Linked DNA regions of Arabidopsis thaliana. The protein of the gene in region 2 interacts with the protein of the main gene of each other region in a pairwise test. Each region holds a gene or a part of one and is shown on either strand. Other genes may lie near its edges.

Region 1 (3,447 bases), on a different chromosome or scaffold from region 2:
AATATAAAAGGAGAGAAATGAAATTGTAAAGGAGGGTCAGATTGTAACGACATTATACATAACTTAATACATTATTCTTCAAATTCGATCTTGTTCGATTAACAAGGCATAGAGACATCGAAACATCCACAAATTTCTAATTGAGGTTTCTGACATCTACATACTAGTTAGTGGTAATCAAACTCTTTTCTATATTACTCACAAATTAAATGAAATGAAAAAATCAATTTTTTACTTTTTTCAATGCATAATTCGATTTGTACCAATGGATAATTTGTTGTTCGATAAATAAGAGTTGTTTTTTTCAGAAAAAAAAAGATAAATAAGTGCGGTTTATGAGATATCATCCTACCTAAAATATGCAAACATTTTTTTTGTTCTTGAAATACGCAATTGTAAAGATCTCTAATCAAGGTTTTAGAGTGAAATAAAAATGTTGAAATTTTTCTATTCTCAATTTTGTTTAATTTGTAGCATTCATGATAAATAAAATCATTTTTATTTTCTATTTTCTTCCATTTATGTTAAAAAAATAGAGTAGATTTTCTTCTACTTTCCATAAGAGTAAAAAAATTATACTCTATTTTGCTATTTTCTCTTGATACTGTATATTCTATTTCTACTTGTTTACTCTCACTCTTTTCTACTATTTTCTCTAAATAATACTAATCAAACTCTATATTTAAGCTATATAATTATACACTAAATAAATATATTTTCTTGAAGGAGTATATTTTTTTAATCCATATATTTATACACTATATATGTTTCCCAGAATATATTTTCTTAAGCCATATATTTATATATTATATATAAATTATCCAATACATACACTATACATATTTTAGATGCAATAACATGAAGCCACTATATATAAAAATACCACGAAAATACATATCTTTTCTCAAAATTAAATTAAAGTTGTCGCTTCATGATATTGCAGCTTCAAATGTGACATTTTTGTCTTATTAAAGCATAAAAAAAAATTAATAGCGACGCATTACCTTTTTCTTCCTTCTCATAGTTCTATATATTTTTATATTAAAATTTATTTAGTTTGTTTCACCAACAAATTGTATGCAATTAGTTCATATAATAATTCAAAAAATAAACTGTAGTTCGTTTTGGTGAATCCGACATTCCAACATCATACAAAGAAAGCTACTATTTAAAAACACATACTATTAAAATTTGATATTCTTTTATAATTATTATGGAACAAATATTTCATTTCAATCATTCAAGTCACAAGGTTCAAAAAAACCAAGAATACAAGGATCATAAAGTTTAAGACAAAACATACAAAAATATTTTACAATGCTAAAAAGGGATAAATAAAATATATCCACAAAATATGTATAAGAGCTTGAAAACAAAAGCTAAAAAGCAATTTGGCGCAAGTAATAACATTATTTGTCCTGAATTCATCATCCAACTATGCATTGGATAGAACAATGGTCATAATCAATAGACCACAAACGATATTCTCGCTGACACAAGAAAAACTAGATCAAGAAATTCATCGGCAAGGAAAAAGATATGTTATAACTAACTTCAACATTACAAGAAGTTAACTAAAATGAGACATGTGTTAATTCAATCATGATTAACAAGGTAAAAGCATTGTACGTGGTTATGATACATAATTAGTTTCTTTTGTTTTTACAGACAAGAAGCTGGAAAATTCACGTTGACATTGGTCAGGACCCAAAATAAAAGGGGTAATATCGTCATTTACTACCATAAAGAAACACCAACCGATAAAACGTCCATTCTAAGACGGCGGGACAATGTTCATACTTCATGGGTACATTACATACATACACCAAAAACTTCAAAGCCCCCACAAATCTCTAAACATATCACAAACTTCAAATTTCTAAAGACACAACCCGGATCCGGTTCCAAATCAAAACACAACCCGAAATATGCCGATCGGGTGGGTCAAATCCTTACATTGCAAATCAAAAGCATTCGACGATGTCTATCATCATCACTCCAACAAAGGTAAACTCTTATTGCCAAGTTACAGCTGCAGAAAAAACGTTAGAGACGTTGTCAATACACAACCCGGAACCGTTAAGAAAAACCCAAAACCGGACCCGAGTTTAAGACGTTTATGCTCTTCTCGTCGACCCGAATTAGACTCCAATTCTCATCACCCGACCCGACGAAGTGTATCAGCTCGAGCTTCCTCGGAATCTGTATTGCCCGTATTGACCGATCTTCCTGATGGTCATCCGTCAAGAAACGTCGTGGAGATTATATTCCAATCTAGTTGGAGCTCCGATGAGTTTCCGGGTCGGGTTGAAATGATTTTTAAAGTTGAAAACGGGTCAAAAGCTGTGACCCGGTTTGAGGAATATAGAGAAGCTGTGAAATCGCGATCGTGTTCGAAAGTTGATTCTGATAGAGTTGACGGCAGCGCGTGTGATGAAAACGCGCGGTGCTCCGCTGATGGGAATGAGATGATGAGGTTTTTTCCGTTGGGTCCGATTCCGGGAGGGATAAACGGCGGCGCGTGGGGTTTTCCCGGAGGGAAAGGAGCGGCGGTTTGTACGTTTTCCGGTAGCGGAGAAGCGCACGCGAGCACTGGCGGCGGAGGAGGGAGGAGAGCGATGTTGATTTGTAGAGTGATTGCGGGTCGGGTTGCGAAGAAAGGTGAATTCGGGTCGGATTCGGTAGCGGGTCGAGCTGGTGAGTTGATTGTCTTTGATGCTCGCGCGGTGTTGCCTTGTTTCTTAATCTTTTTCAGATTGTAAAAAATAATAATTATTATAAAATTTATACTAATTTTGATTTATATATTTTGGTTCCATTTTTTGGTTTGTTGTATCTGCTTCGTATTTTTCAGATTTATATTTAACTTTTCGTTCAAAATATATTTTTGGTTGTTTTTAGGGTCCAATCTATATACTTATGTTTAAGGTTTAGACAATTTGGCAGGATTCGATATTGAATAAAATCATTGATAGGTAGCAAATTAGATAAGAGATAATTAGTGATACCGTTTTTACAACCATTAATTTTATTTATGTATGTGATTTGTAACCACTGAAACGATAAAGTTTTTGCTATGGTAAAGAGTTCCCAGTCTAAAAATAAAGTGCACTTATTCAATGCAAGTATATGAATATATTCCATCTGTTTCATTATATATGATGTTTTAGAGTTTTAATTTTGTTTCATTATATAAAATGTTTACAAGTGTATACTTTATTTAAATAAGAAACAAATTTGATTCAACGTCACTAATTACTATTTTTATGGGAAATATTTTCGTGAAAAATTGTTTGATATATATAACAAATGCAGCACATTTTAAAATTAATTCGTTGACTGCAAAAGAGACAACTCACATGCAGATTACATGCAAATATATAAAAATATACATTTATGTGTGTGCATATATTAATGAGATTTTTTTTTTTGGACAACCTATATACG
Region 2 (4,516 bases):
AAATATTTATATGTTTTCTCCATTATCAACATATACAAATTATATGAGTAAACTTCAACAATATAATCCAAAATTGTACTGTTTATCTTTATATTTTCACGCTTTTTTTTTCTTAATGTCATAGGCAAAAATTCTGCGGGGAGAGCAAAACCTTTATTGTTTAGTAAATAATTTTCTTCAATTCATTTACGAACTCTAGACATAATAAATAAATTAACGCCAAATAAGAGGAATTATTGTCCTTGCAAATATATACAGCAAGAACTCACGAGGAGGCAATGTTTGGACTAACCTAAACTGGCCATCTCATGACTCAAAGACGAAAGATCGATGTTTGTGCAAAGTACACTGACTCACTTCACTTCTCATTGATCAATCTTAACTAATATTTGTTCTCTTCCCTTTTTCAGTTTATCTTAGACCATTGTTTCTCCTAGCAACAAATTCACCGAATGATCATGTCGCGATTAGTTTTGGGATAAAATCATAAAATTGCTTCTCATCAAGAATTGCTCCGCAAAATCAATGTTCAAGCAGATTACTAGACCAAAATTTATGATCGAGTAGTCCGAATATAATCTTTTGCATTTAAAGCCTCTAAAATTTACAAATATCTAACCAATGTTACAACATGGCATGTACCTAGTACAAGCTACTAGGTTACAACTTCAGAGCGAAGAATTAAAAAATGAGAATCCTATATTAATGAATATTCTCGCTTGAGAAATCTATGCATGACAACTTTCTATCATCAACAATAATAATTAGATTTGATCAATCTCTGTCGACGAGAACCCGCCAAAAGTGGTGACTGAGAGACATGTCACACAACATCGCCCTATTTATACGTAGAAATATCGATCTATATATATATATATACTAGATCGACAATAATATGGTAAGTTTTTTTATTTTAAATATGGTAAGTAATAAATGCTTGTAATACGAAAGGCCTTTATGCTCTACTCATTGTTTGGTGTATAAAAAAAAAATGGAATCAAGGTGTCAGATATGATGGTACAGCAATTTTTAGCCCCACACGTTGTCATTTTTCTTTGGAAGGTACATTGAGATCAATTTCTATTTTTGTATTATTTTGAAATCATCATATAGTTTCATTGGATTTATCACAAGAGGAATCTTATAAAAATGCGAATGGGTATATCTATCTCTCTTTCAATATCTATGTCACACAAGTGTTGTTGCTATATTGTAGGGACATGTCAAAACTTGTCGACAAAAGCTCCATGAATGGGAAACATTGACATCAAGATACAAAATCACATGATTCTTCAACTTGTGAAAGTTTTCGAGTGTGAACATCAGACTCACATAAAACTCCATTGTAGATATCTCTTGTCATAAGACACTGTCACATTCAATATCGTTTTCAAACTCTCCAAAATACTGCCTGATTGCAATGTTACAATTTTGTCATGGACCCACCAATCCCTGTGAACCAAGCCGGTTACTGTTTATTACTCCGACCCGACCCGGGCTTTTTAAAGATAGGCCCAAGAAGGCCCAATGATTGAAATGTGAAATGTTTGATACATTGATGTTTTTGATCTTCGCTCAAACCCTACAATAAAACTTTGGTTCCTCCGAATTTCGAGTTCTTGTTCTTCCCAAGGCCCCTACTTCGGCCCTAGCATCAACCATTGTCGTTTTAAAGCTCCAGGTTTTCATGGCCAAGAAAGAAGTAACTATCGTTGAGATCTTCTGAAATTAATCAGTCTTGAAGTCTCTGGAGATTGTACGTTTCTCTTCTTCCTTTCCTCGTCGGTTTTAATGGATTCCGTTTGCCTGATTTGCAGTTTCTGCTTCACCGTGAAATCGAAACTCGTTTTGCTCTTAAACAAATATTATGCATGCGTTTCAATTTGGGTCTTTTTCTTGACAATATTGGTTCTGTTTGGATTAAGAAATTGAAAATTAGTTTTGTAGCTGAGCCTTTTCTCTTGTGTGTATAGGAACTGAGCTATATCAGTAGTGTATCTAGCATATTTGATTAATGTTCCTTCATGTTGTTCTTATTGAAGCTGCTTCCATTGGTTTTGTGATTGAGTGCAGGTCTTATAACATGGACTCCATGGATATTGATCAAAGTAACATAGGTGAATCGCCTCACCTTCTGCTGAGACCAGTAAGTCCATTGGAATCTGGTGAAGGTTTACCTTATGCTCCTGAGAATTGGCCTAATCCTGGAGATACTTGGCATTGGAAGGTTGGACCGAGAATTAGCGGTAAAGGCTACTTCGTGGATAGATACTTATATCCTCCTAAGTATCTTCCCGGTTTAGATACTGAAATATTGCGGAAAAATAAGGTGTTTAGGAGCAGGCTCTCGCTCCAACGATATATTCGTGTACACTTCCCTGAAGCGGATGTTCAAAAGTTCTTTGCTTCTTTCAGCTGGAGCATACCCTGCAGAGATGGTCAAGGTTCAATTTACTCTATATGATGCTTTACTCAAATATATACAATTCCAGTAGACTTACTATGTTTTTCCTTATGCTTCTCTCATCGCATGTTTCTGTTAGTTCTTCTTAACCATATGAATTACGTTTCAACATTCTGAACAAGTTACTGATTTCTTGGCATGGTGATTTGTTCTCTGTTTGACAGGTGTTTTGCCTCAGAAGCAGGTTCAGTTACCAGTGTATAGCTCAGATGAAGATCCAATGCGTGATGATGGATCTGATACTGCGGTCTGTAAGGCTGGTAATGAAAAATGCCGGAGCCTGATGCCACAGTGCGAAGCCGAGACTTTACCTGCTATGCCTTGTGACATTTGCTGCGGTGAACGTAAGTTCTGCGTTGATTGCTGTTGCATCCTTTGCTGCAAGTTAATAAGTTTGGAGCATGGAGGCTATAGCTATATCAAATGTGAAGCTGTGGTTTCCGAGGGTCACATATGTGGACATGTTGCTCATATGAACTGTGCTCTTCGAGCTTATCTGGCTGGAACCATTGGAGGCAGCATGGGATTGGATACTGAATACTACTGCAGGCGATGTGACGCCAAAAAGGACTTGTTTCCACATGTCAACAAGTTTCTAGAAATATGTCAGACTGTAGAATATCAAGGCGACGTGGAGAAGATCCTGAATCTCGGTATTTGTATCTTGCGGGGAGCACAAAGAGACAATGCTAAGGAGCTATTAAATTGTATCGAATCAACAGTCATCAAGGTATAATATACTTTGTAAAATGTAATGTTTACTGGACGTTCCTGAAACTAAAGCCAACTCTTTTCAGCTTAAATGTGGCACGAGCTTGGAAGATCTCTGGAATGATGATACACCAACTATATGGTCAGGTACATATCCCTTAATCACGATCCTTTGCTTTGACTTGAATATGTATTGAAGTTGATTTATTGTTCATTATAACAGATTATCTTCATTCTGGTTGTAGATTACTCCGACAGTGGAGAAGCTAGAGAAAATGATACATTGCAAAGTTTACAGGACGTGACTCCAATTGGGCCCATACCATTCAACCATGAGGCTGAGATGCACAAACTCGAAGAAGAAATCGGCGAGGTTCTAAGAGCGCTGAGAAAGGCTCAGGAATTTGAGTACCAAATTGCAGAAGGCAAACTTCATGCTCAGAAAGAATGTCTGAGTGATCTGTATAGGCAGCTCGAGAAGGAGAAGTCAGAGCTGTCGAGGCGAGTATCAGGTACAGATGCGAATAGCTTGATGACGAATGTGCTGAAGAGATTGGATCAGATTAGAAAAGAAGTCACAAAGCTTAAAGAAATGGAAGAAGTAGCCAAGGGATTTGGTAGGACACCTAGAGGGGTTCTTGAAGAGTACTTTCATCTAAACATCGAGGACTAAGATTTATATAAGCACATCCATAATTGTACATTCGTTATGACGTTTGTTTTGTAAGTTTTTGATTCTTCCTCGTAAATCTGAGTTTTGGATGGTCATTTGTTTATTCATTAATCAATTTACGAGTAACAAATGCACAAAAGGTACAATGAAAAGGTCTTCTCCTTCATAAATTGAGATTTAAAATGACAATTATGGAATTAAAAACTTGGAGCCATCAATTAGCTAAATGGCCTTAAAGAGATACAAAAACATAATATGATCAACTTTGGTTGCCACCCCTAGTAGCATTCTCCGGACAAGAATCAAGAGGAGGCTCACCTTTGGGGTTAGTAAAGCGTTGACGCTGCGAGGAAAAAGACAGACGGGGTCAAATTTAGGCAAAGAAAAGAACAACTGAGAAAGAGAGAATATAGTTAAACAAGTGGCAAGGATGCTTAAATTACCTTGAGTTCATGTTCTCGAGTAGAGAGATGCGTGATGAAATTATCAACGCCTTGGCCAGCAATACCTGGGCCACAAATACGACGGCACACAGAGCAAATCCAGGAGGCAGGTCCAGGCGTTTCACTGCAGCTATCCTCCTCCTCCTCAAGTGGCCCTGGATCAGCTAGAAGAAAGTTTTTCCAGAGGGTGGAGGAGGCTTCTCGAGGAGACTCAAGTGGAAACGG

The links. Proteins that work in one complex are often made in the same cells at the same time.
Region 1: the proteins of AT1G05410 (region 2) and AT4G12450 interact in a two-hybrid assay, tested with the Arabidopsis thaliana proteins (one large-scale study listed by BioGRID).

What each region holds. Positions count from the first base shown.
Region 1 is NC_003075.7:7,385,156-7,388,602, reverse strand, and holds AT4G12450 (zinc finger (C2H2 type) family protein), read left to right. Parts: upstream 1-1,671; 5' UTR 1,672-1,928; coding exon 1,929-2,762; 3' UTR 2,763-2,908; downstream 2,909-3,447.
Region 2 is NC_003070.9:1,584,836-1,589,351, reverse strand, and holds AT1G05410 (CDPK adapter, putative (DUF1423)), read left to right. Parts: upstream 1-1,557; 5' UTR 1,558-1,756; intron 1,757-2,073; 5' UTR 2,074-2,083; coding exon 2,084-2,444; intron 2,445-2,628; coding exon 2,629-3,194; intron 3,195-3,261; coding exon 3,262-3,322; intron 3,323-3,420; coding exon 3,421-3,848; 3' UTR 3,849-3,981; downstream 3,982-4,516. Other genes in the region: AT1G05400 (uncharacterized protein), read right to left, coding at 4,108-4,191, 4,292-4,516.